3 linked regions of the Rhinolophus ferrumequinum genome follow. The main gene of each other region encodes a partner of the protein of the gene in region 3 in a complex. Links are inferred from orthologs where the notes say so. Each region holds a gene or a part of one and is shown on either strand. Other genes may lie near its edges.

Region 1 (6,775 bases), on a different chromosome or scaffold from region 3:
GGACTCAGTAGATTGCCCTCCCCAATGTGGATGGGCATAATCCAATCTGTTCAGGGCCTGAAGAGAACACAAAGGGGAGAAAGGAGAATTCAAATCTTTTGCTTCCTACCTGGCTGATTAGCTGCGACATCTGTCTTCTGCCGCTGGACAGGGATTTATTTACACCATTCGCTCCACTAGACCTTCGGACCAGATTAGATTTACGCCACCAGCTTTCCTGGACCTCCAGTTTTCAGACAGTAGATTGTGGGACTTCTCAGTGTCCTTAATCATGTGACCCAATTTCTCATAATAAATCCCTTTCTGTATATTTCCCATTAATTCTGTTTCTCTGGCGAACCGCGACTAATCCAGACAGTACCTGACACTTAGTGAGCATTCAATAAATTAATAAATGAATGACCAACATTAAGAATTATATTTTAAACATATTTATTATGTTATAGGTGAGAAATGCAAACTTCTTTGATGTTCAAAATTTGCATTACTTTACTATTGAGGATGAATATTTTCTATGTTTTTATTAAGCAACTGTATTTTCTCTTTCATGAATTTTTTTCATATTTTTGTCCATTTATTGGACGTTTGTTTTTAATGTACTCATTACAATTGCAACTTATTAATAAATATTTTGTGATTTTTGTTCCTAAAATAGATGTTATCAAATTAAGGAAACTGTCAACATAAAGGCAAATCTTCATAATCACAGAAAGAAAAGTACAAGCAGAAATAAATGTTAGTTCAAATACTGAATGATGCCATCTAGTGGAACACTGATTTTAACTTACTCTCTGGATCAGAGTCCGTAATTTCAATGCCCCCAAATTTAGTATTTATGGGACTTTATTAAAATATGTATTCTACATAGCCTCTCCTCTGCCTGGAGATTTTTAACTCATTTAATGTATAGAATAGCCCAAGAGTGTGTTTCAATAATATTCACATTGGAAACTATAAAAATTCCATGTTAGTTAAAATTAAGGTGATACTTTATGCTTTCCTTTTTCATCAGCATTTTCACCAATTTCACCATAATAAGTAATTTTGCTGCTGATAACATTCTTTTAAATGAGTAGTCTATGCCAGCCCCTGTGCTAACTGCTTTACTTGTATTATTTTATTTAATCCTCCCAACAGCTGTAATAAAGTAGGTACTATTATAATGCTACAGCCAGGTGTACCTGGGAGATATCACAGGTTTGGTTCTAGACCACCATAAAAAAACAAGTATCATAATACAGAGAGTTGTAATCTCGCTGGTGGAAGGTCTTGCCTTCAGTTTGTAGAAAATGCAACATCTGTGAAGCATAATAAAGCCAAGTGCAATAAAACCAGGTATGCCTATATTTTAGACGATTGAGGCAGAGAGTTTAAGTATCTTCCCCAAGGTCACACAGCTAATACGGTACCTGAGCCCATAGCCCATCGTGTTATTACATGTGTGTACAGGGCTCTGTGATAAGGAAGATCATAGTCACACCAATAGTCAAAAAAAAGACTAATGATTTTACAATTCTATACTGTCACCTACCTTCAGCTTAGTATACTACATGCAAAACTTAGTTGCATTCCTTAATTACTGAGAGCCGTTAAGGAACATTTTGCTTTGACATTTTGCAACTTGTATTTACATGGTTTGGATTAATACACTTTTATGTTCCTTACATATTAGTTGTAGATTTTTGCTGCTATAAATTTGAAGATGTTTTCAGTACTTTGCTGTTACTCTCCATTTTTCCCCAATACTAATATAAATGAAAGTAAACTGATCTGCTTCAAGCCTTCTATGTGGAGGCAAACTGAAACTAATTTATTTATAACTGGTTAGCAAATCCAGTTGATAGGGATCTGTCAGGCAGGCCAGGCAGCTGAGGCTAACGAAGCTGGCCTTAACCACGCATGCCTGCCCCTACCCACACCTAGCCTGCCCAGCCTGGCCTGGCCCACTTAGTGCTGGCAGAAATCAAGCTCTGCTTCCCCATACCTCACTGAAACGTATCTTTCCTATAATTCACTCTCTCCCTAGGGCCCACAGTATCAACTAACTACAAACTGAAAAATTAATTGCTGCTACTGCCCTCGGAGGAAATAATGTGACGATAACATAGGAACTTTGAAATTGTCCTTCCTGAGGCTACAAACCTGACAACTGCCCTGAGCTGAAATCTTCTGAACACTAGTGAACAAAGGGTGTTAAATAATGTAGTAGATTTTAAAAAATAGAGTGAGCAAACAATGTAAAATTTTCTCAGTTTATTGTTACATTGCTGAGTGGAAGAGAAGTTTGTGTATGTATATCCCTCACCCTCATTCCTACCTCCCAGGAGCTCAAAGTGTGAAATGGTAAAGCCCATTGATGTCAAGAAGGTTCAAGTAAATATTCAGCAAAACAAAGGGGGAAAAATGATGACTAACAAAAAATCTTGTAGTGTATTGAACTGGGAAGAACAGAGGAAATAAAAATAACAATAGATAACATTAATTGAGCATTAATTTGTTCCAGGCAATTTTCTAAATGTTCGGAATGCATTAGGACATTTTAATCCCCACAAGGGGATTTCATTAGGTAGGTATAATTATGAATCTTATTATACAGATAAGAAACCTGAGTAATTAAGTCATTTGCTGGAGTCACTTAGCTGGTAAACTATGGACCTGGAACCAAACTGTCAGGCCCCAGAACCCCAAATCCTTATCTACTAAACCGTAAGAAAGAGATCAAACCTATATCAATTCCTTGGAGAGTCAGAGACAAATATAGGGCGAAAAATCCACTAAATGGATCACCCCCTTAACTAATGGACATCTGCATGATCACGCAGTTATTTAGAGTCCTCGATGTCTCCAAGCTCATTTATACAAGTAAATTAATTGTGAGTTATTATATAATTGAATTCATGAATCCCTCAGGGTAAGAATCTGGATGTCTTGGAACGTTAACAAGACCAAGCCATTCTTTTCAGGTTCTTAAATCTTTTTAAATGAGAGAAGAAAAAGAAATTTGCCAAACACGGTTACAGGAACTGTGATATAATAAAGATTTACATAAAACAAATTAATGCTTTTAACATACCCAACATGACAGTGTTTGAAACTTCATTTGGGAGATAACCACATAGGTCCAAGACTAATAGTGTGTGACTGTGAAGTCCGGCCAATGTTTCCTGGCAGCCTGCGACCGTTTCTGGTGAAAACTCAAGGAACCCCGACTTATGCATTGGTTTTGTTTGTAAATGGTAAACGCGGTGGAACAGCCACCAGACGCCTCCGGTAGCAGGTCACGCTCAGCACTCTTATCGAGCAGTGCTGCGGCTAAAAGCAGTCGGGAGTGCCCACGGAACCAAAGCGCTCGGCCCCGCCTGCCCGGGGCTGAGTTTCCAGAGCACCGGGGGGCGGGGACTGGCCTGTCGGCTGGAAGTGCGGAAATCGCCTAGAGCGGCCCGAGCTGGCGAAGGGCGCGGTGAGAGGCGGTCGCGGGCTGCCAGACCATGCTGAGTGGAGCGAGGGGCAGGCTCGCCTCAGTGCTGCGGCAGACACGCGCGCCGTCGTTCGTGGTCGCCCGTAGGTGCCTGCGCGTGTCGAGGTCGCGGTCGTCGGCGGACGGGAGTGAGAGGGGGAAAGTGCCCCAAGCTTTCGACCCGGCGCTGCTGGAGTTCTTGGTGTGCCCGCTCTCCAAGAAGCCGCTCAAGTAAGATTAGCCGGCTGCGTTTCCTTTCATGGCCTCCCATTGCGGGGAGGAGGCAAGGGGACCGCGCGGCCGCTTGCAGCCGTGGGGGAGCCTTTCAGGTCAATCCGGGTAGTCTCCGCTGCCATTTTCTGGGGGCCCGCCAGTTCCCACGCATCTCCCTCTGTGGCAGGAAAGGCGGGAGGAGAGCCAAGCCCCAGGCCTCCCAAATCCAACCGCCGACCCGCAGGCCTGAATAGAAACTTAGAGGTTCGCCACGGACTGGGCGTTAGAATTGCCGGGGTACCTTTTAAAAGTGTAGATTCCCAGGCAATATCCCAGGCGACCGAGTCGGAAGGTCTGAGGGCAGGGCCTGAGCAATTCTGTATTTTCTTAGAAAGACGCAAAGTGTATAATCTAATACACAGCCAGGTTTATGAAGTAGTGGGATTCAGGAGTAGTCCATAGCATTCACGTTTTTAAGCCAAGATGATGGAAAAAAAAATACCGTAGTAGCCTCCAGATTCTTGTGAAAATGTCTACAACTGATGCCTGACTATCTTAAGCGTGTAAACTACGTGTGCTGCCCTTTGGCTTTTAGTTCTGGACTAGCTGGTTTTGTAAAGGCCTCCTTAACCTTTAGCTTACAATCCTTAGGATAAACAACTACAGTTCCAGGTTGCTAAAACTGAATTTTGACAACACGAGTATTGCAGATTGAATATACTGAACATCAAGATGTTATGAGTGGCTAGCTTTGGGTGGTAGATTGCTAATAATTTTAATTTTCATCTTTTTGCATTTCTTTCTAAATTTTTCCTATAATTAACATACTCAATTTTCTTAAACCTTCAAATTATCATTTGATCTACCTTTTAGCTAATTGTGTAACTAGCTCACTGCAGATTGGTTTTCCAATTTTCTCATTTCTGCCTTTTCAGCTTTCACAAACTTTTGTGTACTTTGATTTTTCAGAGGTTTTCTTCTAATGGATCAGTTAGGCTGCTCTAGTACGCCTGTATTCTAAAACAAGGAAGTTGAAATTTTCTCTGTCCCAGTAGTAAATTAACTGGGACGGTTTTGGAGATGACCAGAGTAATGAAGGAATGTTTGGATGAAAAAGGGAGAGCTTTTCTGACTGGTATTTTAAAAAATTAAGGCGTAGCTTGCGAATAAAGTGAAAAAAATATGAGAAACTGACTAAAATGGGAACGATTAGAGATTCATTTTCTATGAGAAATGGTTTGACTATTGCTGCTTGTAGAATTAAGTTTTTTTGTTTTGTTTTGTTTTTCTTTTTTAATTTATTGGGGTGACAATTGTTAGTAAAATTACATAGATTTCAGGTGTACAATTCTATAATACATCATCTATAAATCCCACTGTGTGTTCACCACCCAGAGTCAGTTCTCCTTCCATCACCATATATTTGATAGAATTAAAAGTTTAATTCTGCTTTTCTGGGATTAACTCTGAAGAATTGGATAAACAGTGGTGTTTATTAAACATCAAGCTCTTCCAAGCATTTTGTTTTCCACGATTCATTTTATTTTTCTTTTCCCTCAGATACGAAGCATCAACAAATGAATTGGTTAATGAAGAATTGGGAATAGCCTATCCAATTATTGATGGGATTCCTAATATGATACCACAAGCTGCTAGGATGACACAGCAAAATAAGAAACAAGAAGATACGGAGCAACACTAGATCATAATTAAAAACAACAAACACAACTAAATTTTCTTAATACCATCTACGTTTTAAAAAGTCAGGGTGGCAGGTAATAAGTGGAGGAGAAGAATGTTTCTCTCTCTTCCTGTGTTGACTGTCCTTATTCCATTGGTCTCTTTAGCAGGACTGTTCTACTCGGCCTCTGTGGAAGAAAACTTCCCACAGGGCTGCACCAGCACAGCCAGCCTGTGCTTTTATAGTCTGCTCTTACCCATTACTGTACCAGTTTATGTGTTCTTCCACCTTTGGACTTGGATGGGCATTAAACTCTTCAGGCATAATTAATGCAGCTAGAGCCCAGATGGTACATACATTAATGCTATGTTGAGTGTCTATATCTGAAAGCTCAGCTGTATGGAAATACCAGGCACACGCCTAATTTGTAGGAAAGATGCTTTACCTTACTTCTGTCAGACTTAGGACTATGGGATCTAATTTATAACGGCTATGTCAGAAGAAACATTTCAACAAAAGTGTGTTGTTTGAAATTATAGTCCTGACCATCATCTGATGACTTTATTTCTTACCCCATTCATCTGAAAGTTCATTTGAAATTTTATGTTTTAGAGTAGAAGTCTTTGGTAAAGTCACGTTACAGATGACTGCAGTAAATTCCACCAGAGCTATGTTAGAATAGTTGGAGAGAAACGCATTTGAACTAGTGTGATATAAAACTACAATAAAGTGGAAATTTTATGGACTTGCAGAAATTCTGAGTTTGTAAAATTCATTTCTTTGGTATCAAATGCTTACATTACTAATAAGACAACACTTTTCCATAAAAGTTTTCATGGTTTTGTATATTTTGTTTTTGGTCTCAAGAATGTGGGTCTAAGGAAGGGAAAAGTGAAAAAGTATTCTAAAATTTAAAATGTAGGCTATTTTTAGACACTTAATAGCCAAATAGAATAATTTCCCAGGAAAGTATGTACTTTTGGAGGTAGAGGTAGGGTTAGAAGACTTGCAAATAGCTGTGTCCTATTGCACTTACAGCTGTGTTTTGAGCCACATTTTAGTTTATTTTCCTGCCTTAGGAGACCTGTTTAGCACTACTAAGGGCATGAGTATCAGAGACATTAATAGTTCCTGATTTTCCAGAACTTTCAACAAGACTGATAGAGAATAGTACAATAACTATTTTAGAGGTATAACAAATGTTTCAGTAGTTACCCTAAAGAAACTAAGAATTGAATATACTAAACTTAATTGATTCTTACTAGAATCTTAAAGTAGTTTAACAGAAGCTTTAGACAGTGATTCTTATCCATCAAAAGAACGTGAAACCATGCCGTAAAATGCAATACAGCTTTGTTCTCATCCACTGAGTACTGTTAATGGCAATATGATACAGACCCCAAATACAATTGTATACATACTGT
Region 2 (6,878 bases), on a different chromosome or scaffold from region 3:
CCAGCACTTCATAGAATCTGCCTGTTTTGTTCATAGAACACTGCTTGATGTCTAGTAGGTTCTCAATACATATCTGTTAGAAGAAGAACCAGGAACCCCTTCAACACACCACTGCCACAGCTCTTAGTTAAAGCTAAGCTCCCAATTACTGAATCCCCAGAATCAGCTGCCAGGCCTGTTCCTGGTCCTTCCTCCCTCAGGCTATCTTCTTGTCCCATCTTGGTCTCCTCTCCCCTACCAGCACCCAGCCCTTTCTCCAATCAGCTGCACCATCTCGGATCTACCATTGCCTCCTAAAGCCTGGCTGTAATTTTGAGAGTGTGTGTTTTGTTGATTACAGGTGTGTCTGTCCTGTGGCCCCAATGGAATGGTGGGTGCCCTGAGGACAGGAATGCAGTCAACACAACCTGACCACCTGGAACCTTTCCAAGGACCAGTAATAACCTTGGCACCTGTGGGCACACAGAAAGCTCTACTGTCTGACATGATACACACAAGCACATATGGGGGTCACCTACTCCTCTAAGGGGTGAAGCTGCTGACTTGAGGGACCAACCCCCACGTCCCACCCCCCCCCCACACACACACACAAATACTTTGAAGGGGTCTTTAACAGCCTGGCCTGCTTTTCCAGCTTCATCTCCTGCCGCTCCCCAGGAAGCCGTCTTTGTCCCAGGGACAGCCACAGAGGATTACTCACCAGACTCTCAGCCTGTGTGCCTTTGTTCACGCTTTCCCTTGGGCTCGCATGCCCCACCCCCTCACCTGAACAACTCTTAGTCATCTTTCCAGTATCAACTCAGATGTCAAGGGCTCTCTGAAGTCTTCACACACACACACCAGCCCTGTCAATTCCCTCCTCTGTGCTGTGTTGTATGTAAGTTTGCAACTTCCCCCATCTTCTGTGCACTTTAGAATAAAAGCTACCAAATTTGGAATTTGTCTCCCTCTGAAATCAAAGCTTGCAAAAACAGAAAACCCCCACAAACATGAGCGTCGCCATCTTCAGAAGGAATACCTCAGAAAATGGTTTGGGAGTGATGGGAAGGAGGCTGGGGAAATACTGCAGGAGCAAAGGGGCCTCCTCAGCCCTGAGCTGGAACTCATGACAGTGATTCATAACAAGAACAAGACTAACACTTACTGGGTGCCCCCCAAATGCCGCACATTGTTTTAAGTACCCAACCTACCTTATTTCCTTTCATCTTGAAAGCAACCCTACGAGAGAGAGGATCAGTTATTGATTCCATTGTGCAGCTGAGAAAACTGAGGGTCAGAGAGGTTAAGTTACTTGCCCAACGTCACATAGCTAAGTAAAGGACCCAAGTCTGGAAAACTGGGCCCTAAAAGCCCACATTTAAAATCCCCAAGCTGTGCTGCCCCTCATCCCCTGCTCTAATCATGTGTACTGTGCCCTCTTGTAACAGCAGAAGGGTGATTGATGGTCTGCAAAAGATTGGCAAGCAAGAAGCTGGACCATCAGAAACTGCTGGCTTTTTTTATTTTATTTTATTGGGGAATGTTGGGGAACAGTGTGTTTCTCCAGGGCCCATCAGCTCCAAGTCAAGTTGTCCTTCAATCTAGTTGTGGAGGGTGCAGCTCAGCTCCAAGTCCAGTCGCTGTTTTCAATCTTAGTTGCAGGGGACGCAGCCCACCATCCCATGCAGGAATTGAACCTTGTTGTTGAGAGCTAGCACTCTAACCAACTGAGCCATCCAGCCGCCCCCAGAAATGGCCGGCTTTCGTCCAGGGCTAGCCAAGGCCAAAGACCCTGTCCGTGTTTGGCAGATGACAGTGTCTGGAGTAGTTATATTTCCTGGGACCAGGAAAGCTGAGTCAGTTTCCCTGGAGACCGTCAGATGCTAATCTGTCCTTCCCTCTGCCCTTCATCTTACATTTACAGGCCTGCTGGGTTTCCCACACTGTGCTTGGTCCTGGAGATACACTGGTCCTGGGCGGACCAAGCAGGGAAACAACAAACCTCCAGCTGGATATGGTAAGTGCCATCTAGAAAAGAGGCTATGGGAGCTCAGAGAAGGAAGATGGTGAACAACGCTGCAAGACAAGGTCAAGTGCCAGGAAGGCTGGTTGGAGGACCTGATGCTTAAGCTCAACATTAGAGAAATATGTGCCCACATTTTCTTGTGGCATTATTAGGGTTTCACTTTTCACATTCAATTTTTTTGTTGTTGTTTAAATGGGGCACAGCTCACAGTGATCCATGCGGGGATCGAACCGGCAACTTTGATATTACTAGCACCACGCTCTAACCAACTGAGCTAATCAGCCACACCCACATTCAATATTTTTTCATGCACTAGGAATTAATTTTGGTGTAAGATGTGAGGTTGAAATCTAACTGAATTTACTTTTTCGAATGGTAACCTAGTTGCAAATGGTTTTCAAGCAACTCATCTTTCCTTACTCTCTTGAGTTGCCCTCTCTATCGTATACTAAATTGGTATATGTTTGATCTGTTTCTTCACTTTTTATTCTGTTCCGTTGATCTCAGGAGGGAGGTACTAGATTGCAGTGGCAGGGCTTGCAGCTCTAAAGTCAGATTATCTGGGGTGTGCCTCAGTTTCCTCATTTGTGAAATGGAGATAATAATAGTTCCTATTTCATATGATGGCTGTGATGACAGAATGAGATAATGCACAGAAAGTACTCATTACAGTGCTTGGCAGAGTAATCCATCAATGAATGTCAGCTGTCATGGTGGTTACTATGATGGTTCCTGCCCACCCCTGGGCCAGGAACTCAGGGGGGTGAAATTACTAAGCACATACCTTTGAGCTAATGGGACAGCTCTGCTTCTGCTACTTACTATGCATGACCTCAGGCAAGGTACTCACCTTTTACTATCGCTCTCTGTTCTGGTTTCCTCACTCTTACATGGAGATATAAAAGTACCTACGGCGGCGTGTATATAAAACATGAGTGTTGGACAGGGCATGACACATAATGGCCCCTCAATGAATGTTTACTCTTCTTCTGCAGATTATTATTACAACGTTATAATTTATTAGGTGTCTTTATGTGTTGTAGTCCCTTCTCATTATCTTCCCCCCAAAAATGTTCTGGGGAGTGGCAGTTGTTCAGAGCCAGGTCTACTGTGGGTGAATAAAACAGAATTTCCGGGTCTGCCAAGCTGTTGCCTAGCCCCTGGCCTGTGCTGAAAGTAGCTGAGACCAGTGAGGTCTTGAGTGAACAACCAATAGGATTTTGGGGGGAATGGGGAAGGGAGGGGGTGGGGCTTTGAAATTCCTATAGCAGGTTTTCAAAAATGTTTTTATTTTGTCTTAATTCTTACTTTAACAAAGGAATTTGCATAGTTTAAAAAGCCAACATTTCTGCAAGGCATTTAATGAAAACTCAGCCTCCTGCTCCACTCTCCCGCCCCTACACACATGCCCTTTCATAAACCATTCTCAAGTTTCTTGGCGGCTTCTTTTGGTATGTCCCTCTTCATTTCTAAATAATATGCTTATATTATTATCTTTTTTTCTATTTTAGATATACTCAGTTGACTGCCTGCCATGGACGATGAGGATGTAGTTCTCTCCCCACCTCCACCCTCTCACTTCAAATGTATTGCAATTTTTAGTTAACTCAGTCTCTCAGTGTTCACATTATTATGGCTGTGAAAATATTCTTCACAGCTGAGTTATGTAGTGTTTGTACGAAGACTCCGTAAGTCTGTAAAAACTGCTTTTGTTAATCAACATGAAGGACATAGGGCTGAGAAACTTCATTCTCTAAAATCATGGTCATAAACTTTGCTGTTTAAAATCAGTGAGAATGGAACGTCCCACTCTTGCGTGGAGGTCAAAGCCAGGTGGATTACTTTGGCACAAAGCAGCAGCGATTTCCAACATGGGTGCCAAGCTCCAGATAATGGGGTTTTGGACACAACAGTCTAGATTCATCTTAATTGTGTTATCTATTACATAATTATCTACAATTAATTATCTTAATTTTGTTTGCCAGGTGGACCCTCAGTCCACTTCTCAGGCGAGGCTTGCTGTTGATTCCCTCACTTACGTCCATGCTTACCTTGAACCTATCAAAACACTGCTTTATTTCAGTATTACCTAAACTCCACCTTTCCCACATCCTGTAAGGAACCTGTTTTTTCCTTTGACGAGCCGCTCCTCAGCTCTGCTGGTGTGTGGGCTCTCTCTTGGAGCAGCAAGTTAATAAGCCTAACTCTGTCCAACATACAGTATGTTCCTACTGGTCTTTATCAGGCAGGTTTTTATCAGTTCTTTCTTTCCGTGCTTTTATAGCTGTTTCCCTGAAGTTGATAATTGCCTGACCTTTGCTTTTATTTGGTTTTCTATATACCTATCAGAAACTCATCCACCAAGCTCTTTGAAAGATGTGTGGACCTTCCCTCAATACCTTAAGTGTGTCAGGTAATTCCTCTGTCCCCAAACTTTTTTCTCTAAAGACGACCTCCCGGAGCCCTTCTTCCCCTGGCTCCAAGCTGTACTGGTTGCTCCCCTGCGTTCCTTTTGAAAAATATGACCACCTTTGTCCTAACACCTATCTCAAGCAGTGGTCAATGCATCTGTGTACCTGACTCCTCCTTCCCACCTCCGCCCCAGGAGGGGCCCAGTACCTTGATATCTCTATTTCTCCAAAACCTATCATGGAGCTCAAGAAACGTTCGAATGCATGAATAAAAGAACAGATAAAAGAATGAACCAGTGGGATTTCTCTGTAGAAGTGAAGTTTAAGAGAAACGACGTTACATTCCCATTTTGTTGCAAGGTTTATCAGTGGCCTCAGGCTTTCTGCAAGCCCCACGCCAGCTTGGAGCGGGGTCCTGAGGGAGAGAAGCAGCACCGACAGCCCTCAGGACCCAAGGCGGTTTGCAGAGCAGAGCCAGCTGAACTCAGCTCAGCGAAACGGCGCGGGCCAAGAGCACTCCGAGCGCCACCACGAGGACTACAACTCCCAGAAGGCCGCGCGGAGGCGGAGCGCGAGCCGCGGAGGACTCCTGGACGTGACGTCAGAAGTGCGCGGAAGGGGAAGCGCGGCAGAGTACGTGCAGCTTGAACGCTGAATGAGGTGGGCGAGAGAGATGGCGGAGCGGTGCTGAGGGTAGGTGAAACGGGGCGGGGTAGTGAGGGGTGGAATGGGTCTCGGATGAAGTGAGGGTCGCGAGGCGGAAGGACCTCGAACTCTGCTTTCTCTTCCCGCAGCGACCATGACGAAATTAGCGCAGTGGCTTTGGGCACTGGCGCTCCTGGGCTCCGTCTGGGCGGCCCTGACCATGGGAGCCCTGGGCCTGGAGCTGCCCTTGTCATGTCGGGAGGTCCTGTGGCCACTGCCCGCCTACTTGCTGGTGTCCGCCGGCTGCTATGCCCTGGGCACTGTGGGCTATCGCGTGGCCACTTTTCATGACTGCGAGGACGCCGCCCGCGAGTTGCAGAGCCAGATACAGGAGGCCCGAGCCGACTTAGCCCGCAGGGGGATGCGCTTCTGACACCCTCACCCCTTGGCTCCGGGACAGCCCGCCCCTCTGTCCCCCATTAAAGAGCGCGCTTACTCCCTAACTTTGTTTTCAGTTTGAATATGGGGAATGGGAATTGGGGCTTCTGTGTACCAGCTGTGGAGAAGTGAGAGGCGGGCGAGCCACCTTCCTGAGGCCATTTGAGCCTTTATGTTTGCAGCCTGCTGGTGTTTCTGCTTTTTGCTCCAAAGGAGACAAAGACCCCCTTCTCTTCTCAGGATGGAGATGTTTTTCACATTTCTGGTCCTTTTGACCCTGTCAGGAAATATTTGAAGCTGAACTTACCAGCTTTTTCACAATATCCAAGCTCTGTTCTTTTTAAGGCCTTCCTAGGTCACCCCTAGGTTGCTCTTGGTTCTTTCTCCTTCTCTGCTGAGCCAACCTAATCAGCCCAAGAGTAACTGTGGATCTGGTCGTGCACCTCTACCCTTCACCCAACCAGGCAGGTTGAGAAGCACTGAAGAGCCATGATGGGCAGGGATAGGGAACAGTTTATTTTAAGGCACATTCTAAAGATTTCACCCCAACCCCAAAATTAAAAAATATAATTTCCGAAAAATAAGTGTTTCATCTCCCAGGGCCCGCGCAATCTTCTAAGTAAAGCTCTTTCTTTGGTCTCTCAATTCAAAGTTGTCTCTTTTTCTTGCCCATAACCCATGGCACCTGTGAAACTGGTCAGCAGAAACAGCTGAAAGAAGGAGCTCTCTTTGGTAACAGGTGGGCATTAAGGTGCCCCGTGGTCAGGTGAACTGCCTCAGGTCTGCAGGAGCTGATAATTCCTGTCTTGTGCCTGGGGGTATTTCCAGAAAAGCCAGAGGCGAATGAAGCTGGTTAGGATTCCTGGAAGGTTGGGTACCTGGAACCACAAGGGCTGCAATGAGGCAAGGAGCTGATTTCCCACCTTGTACACCTGTCAGCCCATCCTGGTGCTGCTTACCATGATGTAGGGATCTCTGAGTCGAAACCCATAGAGGGTCCAGGAGGCAGAGGCAAGGAGGGTGGCAATGGTGAGTGAGAAGGAGAGACGCTGGGTCGATTTAGTCTGAATAACTTTGGCCTGTTGGAAAGGATGAGAGACACTCCTAGCCCAGACGCAATAAAGCTCCCACGTTGCCTGAGAATTTCCTCGGAAAAAAGGTCAAACATGCTCCCTGATCTTGTCACCCAACCTTTCCCTGCTGCCTCCCACTCACCCGTCTCCTTGCAGGATTTGTATCTTCCCTTCTTTGGGGGCGTGTAAGCTACAGTCTCTAGCTATGGGAGCCCGACCCTTCTTATCTCCCGCACCTCCCTGGACATCCCCACTCACCAAGTCAGCCAGTGGTGAGAGGTACATACTGATGGTGAAGACACTGCA
Region 3 (8,376 bases):
CTCAGGGGGATTGCTGGGGGGCCAGGGCCGGGGCCTGTGCCAGACCAGTCAACCTGAATACAATGGAACCAACTTTGCTCTGGCTCAGTAGCAGCTCTCACTGCTCATTGCTACTACTAAGTGCGGCTGCTGGTACGAGGGATGGACAGGCTTAAGCTTTTAGGGACCTGGCCTGAGGCTCCCTAAAGTCCTAGTGCACGCTGGCTGGGCTGGCACAGGGGAGGCATGGTGGAGGCTGACATGGGGTCTGGTAGCCTGCCATGCCTCCACCGACTCCCCAGCCATGAGCTGCAACAAGCTGAAACCACATCTGTCCCAGTTCCCTCCTGATCCCGTGTCCAGCATAGGGACGATCCAGGAGGCACCTGAGGCACCTCATTGCACAAACCAGGGTCTCCTGACCTGAGACTAGTGCGAGGCCAGCTCCTAGACCCTCTCCGGACTACAAGCAGCCCAGCTCTCCTGGTCAGGGATGCCACAGAAACAAACACACCAAAACATTTATTGTTCAGTTCTCCCCAGCAGGCCAAGGCCAGTGTCAGGACTGAGGGGCTGGGTCTCCATGACGAGCAGCAGGTCTGGGGGCCCAGTGTGGCCACTCTAATGCGCCCTGAGGCCTGGCGGTGGTCCTGGGGCCTGTCTGTCCCCCCGCCTAGGTGTTCCAGGTCCAGAAGTCCTGTGGGATCTGGGGCTATGTCAGACCCGGGAAAGCTGCTTTCATGGAGGAGGACATGTGAGGAGAGGTCATGTGATGTCTTAGAACCTGCCAAATCCAGTATCAGCAGGTAACAGGAGGGAAACTGAGGCAAGAGGGTGGAACCAGAGGAAAACAAATGACAGAGTCTGAAGGTGAGGCAGGGAGGACTAGCATCTTTCAGGCCCTGAGCCGGAAGGGGGAGAGAGGGAGACTTCAGGTACTCCTCCCTCCTAGCTTCTGGAAAGGTGAGCAGGGCAGTGGGTGCTCTTGTCAGTCAGGGGTGAGTTCTGAACAGCTCCATCCTTCAGGGTGTCTGCAGAGCAGCCAGGTTTGAGGGCGCCACAGTGCCTGAATAGGTCCTGTGGACCCCTGCCCTTGGTATGCCCTTGCGGGGAAGCAGAGAAGGGGCCAGCAGCCTCATCCCTGCTGGGCTTTCACTGAGCCTTTTTGGTCACCTGGTTCTTCAGCATCACATAGGTGATGAACACTCCTGGAATATACAGACCAGAAAGACCAGATAAGATCGGGGCTCAGGGCTGCTGTTAAGGCCAGAGCAGGGCATGGCATGGCACAATGACACATACAGGGGACCAAGCCCCTCCCAACCACCCTCCAGACCACCTGGTCATCTCCCTAGCCATCCATCAAGCCACACATCCACCCACATTCATTCGAAACACACCACTGAGTGCCTGCCACAGGCAGTTTGCTACATTTAGTCTCTCAGATTCTATGGGGTACAAGTTGCACCCAGCTATCCATCTACTCACCCAATCCATCACCTGTCCACCCACCTATCCACCCACCCACCTGCCCACTCAACATCCAGCATCCACCCACCGACTGCATCATCCAGTCATCCGATTGTTGACTAATCCAAACCACTCTATTGAGCACCAGCTTAGTGCCACAGCCTGTGAGGACACAGTCATGATAAAGCCCCAGTCCTGGGAAGCCCACAAACTAAACCATGGGAGACAAAGAGGTGCAGGAACCATGAGCCTGGGTGACAAGGGGGTGAGAGGTGATTGAGGTGTGAGCAGAGCAATGCCGGTGGAGCGAACCGGAAAAAGGGAGACATCCCATGAGAGCCTGAGGCATGGGAAGACTGACTTGCAGCCCTGAAGGATGAACAGGAAAACCCTGGGGGTGAATTGGGGGCAAAGAGCCGCAAGCAGACATACAGCAAGTGCCAAAGTGTGGCCACACATGGAGGGGTGGGAGACACCCTGCCCAGGGTTGGTGGCATGATGACTTACCTACAAACAGGAGCAGCAGGAGGCCGGCGGCCAGTGGGATGGCAACGGCGTAGGCTCGGGGCAGGAAGTACTTGTGGATGACATGCTGGCTATCGATGAATGGCTGGCATCGAGGGCAGAGCTCCAGTGAGCATTCCCTGCCTTGCCCAGCCCCCCCAAGCCAACATCCCACCTCCTCTGTCTCGGGCTGACCCACTCAAAGCACTGGGACAGCATTTGCTTCTGTTTAAGATGGCATTTTGGATGCCTTGGTTTGTTTCCTTCCTTCATTTATTTAATACTGTGTTTCCCTGAAAATAAGACCTACCCCGAAAATAAGCCCCAGTTAAGATCGTCAGCCAGACAGGCGCACTTAGTACGTTACGACGATGTTCTAGAAGATGACATGACTGTATTTGAATAAACGTAGATTGTTGTACATGAAAAAATAAGACATCCCCTGAAAACACGTCCTAATTTTTCTTTTGGAGCAAAAATTAATATAAGGCCCAGTCTTATTTTCAGGGAAACACGGTAGTTTACTGTGCACTTGACTGGTACCTGCCCTAAGTGGGTGCTAGGGACCTGGCAGTGAACAGAAGTCGAAGGACTTGCCCTAATGCCCTCACAGTTTAGCAAGGGCAAAGGGTACACGAGGAATCCTCAACTAATTCCCAATTTGGGCTCCAAGATCTTCTTTACTGACAATTTTCCCCAAACGATACCAAGTTCTGCAAGACTTTGCCCTCCAAACACACTGCACATAAGTACTAACCACCAAACCCTTGCTCCACACACACATCCGAAAGGCCCTCACGAAAGCCACTGGCACCTGCCATGCCCGGGAGCCAGCAGAATAACCAGAAGGATTGGACCCATCAAAGGGAAAGCAAATCAGGAACAGGGCTTTACACTGCAGCGGTTAAGAACGCGACCTTGAGTCCGACCCTTCTCCCTGAACCTCAGCTTCCTCATCTACAAAATGGGGATACCACTGGCATCCTCCTCACAGTGTTGTTCCGGAGATTTCATAAGATATTCAGGTAAAGCACCTAACACAGTGGGGTCGGCTGCAGGACCCAGGAATGGGAGAAGGTGAGAGAGGGCGGAGGAAGAACACATACCAAGAGAATCACCCAGGTGGTGTAGTAGGTGAAGATGATCAGGCTAACGGCAACGAGGCCAAGTCCCACCACCTGGTCTGTCCCGGTGGCCTGGAGAAAAGGGAGGGCTCAATTGACGAAGTGCCTCTATTTAGGTGCACTACTGGGGTGGGGGGGCGGCGTCGCAGTCTGATTCCTCAGCGTTTTTATCTGTACAATGAGCCGGCGGGAGAGCAATCTGGTTCCGAGTGCCCAAGCTCCGGCTCCTAAACAAACCAGGGATCCCCAACCCCAGCACTCTGCCACAAACTCACCATTTCCCCGGTGCTCCGCACCGGGGCAGCCAGCCACATCCGGTTCCGCATCTGGGCCCTCGGCTGCGGGGCACGCCGGGAGTCGCCGAACATAAGGCCGCCCCAGAACTACGTTGCCCAAGACAGGCAGGCGCCGCCTCCCCATTTGCATGTCGGGAAATGTAGTTTCTCAAGGGTATGGGGGAACAAGTTGTTCCCGAATCTCCCTAGAGAATGGGACCGAGTTGGGAACCCAGACCGGCTGGTACTCGTGGCCTCAGTCCTGTCGAACTCGCCCCTGAAGAAAAGCCCATTTCTAAATATCCCAGAGTCCCAAAGCCAGAGCGAGATCTGGTAGGGGAGAGTTGGAAGTCTCATTTCTCAGATGGGGAAACTGATGAGGCTCAGAGACGGGCGAGGACTTGCGGGAGATCACAATTCGTGTCTGTGGTGAAGCCGACACCAGAACCTGGCGTGTGCATGCCAGTTATTTCCTGGTCCCGAGGCCCTAATGTGTGTTGAGGGAAGGGTGCAAAAAATGTTCACCGCCCGGCTGGGGGTGGAGGAGGAGGGGCTGGCCCAAGCCTGCTGCGATGGGGCTCATTTCGATTGGCTGTAAGGGTAGGCGTCCCCTTACCAGCGCCTGGCTTCCCTGTCCTGTCTTCACTGCAGGGACGAGGCCAGGGTGACCCTCTCCTCCCTCACCGTCTGCCTCTGGGGCCCTGGGTGTTGCGGCAGCGCTAGCAGCAGTCCAGGCAGGTCTTGGGAATGGCCGCGTGTGCAGGATCCTCTCCAGGCTTGGAGGTCCGTTCCTCTGAGAGCAAGGGGAGGTTGGGCCTCATCACCTTTGATGTGTTCTCCAGCTCTGGAATCTGGAACACTGTCTCCTCAAAGCTAGTGGGCTAGTTGTTCCTCACTCATCAGGGCTACACATCCCAGGGAAGTCAACTTCCCTGACGGGGGTTCCCTCCTCTGTGTTCCACAGCCCCAACTGTGTCTCCATGATGACGCTTCTCAGCACCGTTTTAATTAGCCGATTTACTTGATGTGGCCCACCTGTGAGCTCCCTGAGCCTAGGGTCTGTGGTCACTGCTGTATCCCCAATGCCCAGAATGGGGCTTGGCACAAAGTAGGAGCTTTGAATCAACCAACTGGCTTTAAGATTCTTTGACATTTTAGATCCTAGAATGCTAGCCTTCAGCATCTGAGGACTCCAGGCCTTCTGAGGGGTTGTGTGGAGGCTCTCCTGCTGTCTCCATTTTGGGGGGTGGAGGGGCACGTGGAGATTGAACCTGGCTGGCAGCATCTGCCTCCTTGGGTCATCTGAGCCCATCTCTGACTATGGCAACTGCTGGAGCAACCTTTTTATTCCCTGCCCTTTGGTATGCTGATTTTTCATTTAGCATGACTGTGTTCCAAAGGAGCAACCTTTTGGGCCTAAAGCCCAATTCCTTCCCTCTGTCTCAGGAGACTTTGGGCTTAGTCAGGAGCCAACTTTTCCCTCCCCAGGTGTGCACTGAACAAAGGAAGGGACTGAGAATCAGCCTGGACATCAGCCCTGAGAAGGGGTGAGGATATGCAGTGCTGTGACAGGGATGAGGCCTGGTAGTCTGGTCCCTTCTGGCCCGTTCAAAGCCGCTAAGGTTTCCTGCCACTTCTGAGATCATTAAAGGCCCAGGGCGACTTGCCTTTCCCAGAGCTTGGTGCAGGCTGCTCTGTAACTTGAGACAGGGCAGGGATGAGGGGCCTAGGCCTGGAGACAATGCAGGCTTGGGGCTTTAGAGGATGGGAATGAACTTGGCACCTCCCATAGGTCAGGCTGTACACCCACTTTCTCATTTGATCCACAGCCTCACAGCCCGCAGCTGAGAAAACTGAGGCACAGGCAGTTTTCTGTCTTCAGGCATGCTTGTTCAAAGCCACCTGACTACTGCGGAGGTCCGTAGAGCAGTGGTTAGAACTTGGGCTCTGAGGTCTGAGACTGGCAGGAAACTACTCTCCAGGGCCCGTTTCCTGTCCGGGACTCTGGTGTAATAAAGGTGGTCACAATTGTGACTGCACCGGGACTTGGAGAACCCTGGCCACCTACACCTTCCCCACCCCCGACCATCACCTTACACATCTGGCTTCCATCTGATGCTTTGATCCTAAAGTCAAGTTGGTAAAACAAACAAACAAGAACCAACATGCCATAACAAACAAAAACTGCAACATTTAATTTTGTCCCCCAAACCAAGACACTGACTAGGCTGATTTCCCTTTACAATGTTATTTTCTACAATAGAAGCTGGGACGGATACAAACACAGCCCATTGAATTAGGGTGTGGTGGTGGCGACATTGTTAGATAAGAGGGGAATTAAAAAAAAAAAAAGACCTTTCTTCCCCCCCATCTCCCTGCTCACTTCCCTAAAGAGAGGAAAACGTAGACATTCTCCATCCTGGCAGATCATGCCCTATGGTCAGTTTGTGGGGTGACTAGAAAAAAATAACCTAAAAATATTGTATTTATTTTCTTTAAATCTCCTAGTAAAAATGTTAAAACTGTCTTCCAAGAAGATTCCAAACTGGCATTGCATAGACCAATTCCTTTCCAAAAATATCTCTAATATATTCTATCTCTCTCTATATATATAGAATTTTTAAGTCCAGGAGCTGTGGGTGCCTAGTGCGAATTCACTGAGCTTGAAGGGACCAGAGGGCCGAAGAATAGAGCTCCCATATGGGGATGAGGCCGGAGCTTCCGGACTCCAGCTCCAGCCACCATCAATTTGGTTGTGGCCGAATTTTCAGTTGTCCAATTACCCCGGCCCAGGGCCTGTCATGGGAGAATGTGGCAGGCTCTGTCTCCTTCTGGGGTGACTGTCAAGTTCAGACCTCGCCTAGAGAGGGGCTGGGGTTCCTGTTTTGGGGGAGTCTCCCCAACAGCACCAAAGCCAGCTGCTTTATGCCTAAAGCCCCAGAACTTGAATCAGACCCCAAATACACCTTGAATGCACCTCCCCACTGGGCTGAGGTCATGCAGACAGAGGGAAGAGCGGCACTGCCCCGTCTTCTGGGGGCCACTTCATCTGGAGACAGTGCAGCTGGTCCCCTTTTAAAGTGCCAGGTGTCTACGGGGCAGGAAGGGACCCACAGAGCTGACCAGAGCCTTCTCCAGCCAGAGCAAATGCTCCATCCTGCCTCGGCAGGCACCTTCTAACATTCATTTTCTAAAAGAGTTAGGTGATTAAAACAATAACAACCACCACAAAATCCTAGAAATGCTCTGACTCCAATGCCAGGAGGCTCCAAGACCATGACTCCAACTCTTGTCAGCTGGGCAGAAAGGACCCTTCCCACCCTGGGGAGGGCACCTCCACCCTAACCCCTACGAGAGAGAGAACCCGTATCCTGGCTCTCCATCCAGATCCCCAGCCCTGCTGGGACCCAGCCAGCGGGTAGGGCAGAGAACAGAACCACCTCCCCTCACCTGGGGGAGGAGAAAATATCAAACTGTGAACCCTAAAAAAAAAAAAAAGAAAAAGAAATAAAGAAAAAAAGAGGAAAGGAAAAAAAAAGTATAGGGCCAAGTAAACACCAGCCTGCTGGGTTTATACAAAGATGAGTGAAATTAAGAGTGGCAGGGGAGTCTGTCCAGAGGCTGGCTGGCAGCCAGAACCCACCTTCAAGCAAATAACGAGGACCGGGAGGAAAGTGCTCAGAGCAGAGGCGTTAGCAAGGCGCAGGGGCAGAGCCAGACTGCTCCCTGCTGGAAAAGCCCCCCTTAAAGGGCCTGCCTCTCCCTTGCCCAAAGAGAGGGGTGCTTTCAGAGGAGGGCTGAGGCTTTTCTGGCCAGGAAGCCAGCTCCAGCCAGTCCGGTCACAGCCCACCTGCCCCTCTAGCACTGGTCCCAGGCCAGGGCCAGCTGACCCTGAGGGGAAAAATGGGGCAGTGCTTGCCCAGCACGGTCAGGCCCCCGACCTCCACGGGCTTGGGAGGCTCCTTCCAGGCTTCCTACAGGAAACCAGCTGCTCGAGACCCAGCCCTGGGCAGAGGGAACCTTCTCGGCACGGGTCTCAGGCCTGAGCTGGAGCTGACGGGAGGGAGGAGAGGCAGTGCCCCGTTCCAGCCGGGCTGCTAAAGCTGGGCCGCTGACTGCACAGCAGGCAGCACCCAGGAACCCCTGGGAAGGGATCAGAGGAAGGGCAGGCGAGGGCCAGCGGGGCTGTGCTAAAGACAAGCGTGTGCAAAGTGCAGGCTGCCAGGGCAGCAGGAGAACATTCGTTGGGGGCGGGGTCTCAGTCTAGAATGTAGGTGGGGTCTGAGGACTTGGCTTCCAGGAGGAGGCCGCCAGCGGCACCCCCAGGGCACAGGGAAGGGATAGCTGAAGCACTAAGCAGAGGGCCACGGTGGCAGGATTCTGGAGATGAAGTGCCCCCCCCTCGCCCCCAGGGCAAGGGGGCCATGGAACAAAGCCCGGCCAGGACATGGCTGAGCGGATGCTCCTGGAGCAAGCAGGGACACATGGCAAGAGGCCCCTCGGCCACAAGCAGCCCTGTGTAGGAGCCGCTGCATGTCCTCATCCAGGGGGCATGTCGGTATCCAGCGGGGCATCCTGGCCATCTTTGTCTTGCCCACCTACTTCATGGGCCTGTGTGTCCTGCCCTTTAGTGGTTCAGAGAGAATATTCACAGTGGCGCCCGGGCCCCACCGGGCCAGGAGGGTCCCAGCACAGATGGGGGGACAATGGAATGATGCTTTGAGGCAGGAGAGGGGCTGGAGTGCATGGAGGAGGCACAGATGAGACGTGGCGTGGATGGTGATCCAAAGGGGAAGATCCCTCGTGGAATGACGTGGGTCTGGACACCCTTGAAGGCAGGGCCCTTCTCCAGCCTGGACACTCGCTCCTCAATGGGTTTCAATCACAACTGGCTCGTAGACCCCAGAGGAGACCCTGTGGGGAGAGACAGGTCAGCTCGCCCTCCCCGACGCTCCTCTGGGCCAGGCCTTGGAAGTACTTCACAAGCAGGCACCGTTAACTGGCCCATTCTGCAGAGGGGGAAG

What was found.
Region 1: DPM2 (region 3) and PIGY share a complex: the UniProt entries of both Homo sapiens proteins name them as parts of the glycosylphosphatidylinositol-N-acetylglucosaminyltransferase (GPI-GnT) complex. The link is inferred for Rhinolophus ferrumequinum from reciprocal best matches to the Homo sapiens genes DPM2 and PIGY.
Region 2: DPM2 (region 3) and DPM3 share a complex: the UniProt entries of both Homo sapiens proteins name them as parts of the dolichol-phosphate mannose (DPM) synthase complex. The link is inferred for Rhinolophus ferrumequinum from reciprocal best matches to the Homo sapiens genes DPM2 and DPM3.

Annotation. Positions count from the first base shown.
Region 1 is NC_046288.1:42,455,294-42,462,068, reverse strand, and holds PIGY (phosphatidylinositol N-acetylglucosaminyltransferase subunit Y), read left to right. Parts: upstream 1-5,428; 5' UTR 5,429-5,465; coding exon 5,466-5,681; 3' UTR 5,682-5,824; downstream 5,825-6,775. Other genes in the region: PYURF (protein preY, mitochondrial), read left to right, coding at 3,489-3,688, 5,231-5,372. UniProt on the Homo sapiens protein: Part of the glycosylphosphatidylinositol-N-acetylglucosaminyltransferase (GPI-GnT) complex that catalyzes the transfer of N-acetylglucosamine from UDP-N-acetylglucosamine to phosphatidylinositol and participates in the first step of GPI biosynthesis.
Region 2 is NC_046305.1:210,557-217,434, reverse strand, and holds DPM3 (dolichol-phosphate mannosyltransferase subunit 3), read left to right. Parts: upstream 1-4,960; 5' UTR 4,961-5,109; intron 5,110-5,210; 5' UTR 5,211-5,215; coding exon 5,216-5,494; 3' UTR 5,495-5,564; downstream 5,565-6,878. Other genes in the region: SLC50A1 (sugar transporter SWEET1), read right to left, coding at 6,276-6,377, 6,459-6,578, 6,831-6,878. UniProt on the Homo sapiens protein: Stabilizer subunit of the dolichol-phosphate mannose (DPM) synthase complex; tethers catalytic subunit DPM1 to the endoplasmic reticulum.
Region 3 is NC_046295.1:76,946,322-76,954,697, forward strand, and holds DPM2 (dolichol phosphate-mannose biosynthesis regulatory protein), read right to left. Parts: upstream 3,514-8,376; 5' UTR 3,446-3,513; coding exon 3,353-3,445; intron 3,150-3,352; coding exon 3,060-3,149; intron 2,060-3,059; coding exon 1,957-2,059; intron 1,188-1,956; coding exon 1,132-1,187; 3' UTR 487-1,131; downstream 1-486. Other genes in the region: EEIG1 (protein FAM102A), read right to left, coding at 8,221-8,266. UniProt on the Homo sapiens protein: Regulates the biosynthesis of dolichol phosphate-mannose. Regulatory subunit of the dolichol-phosphate mannose (DPM) synthase complex; essential for the ER localization and stable expression of DPM1.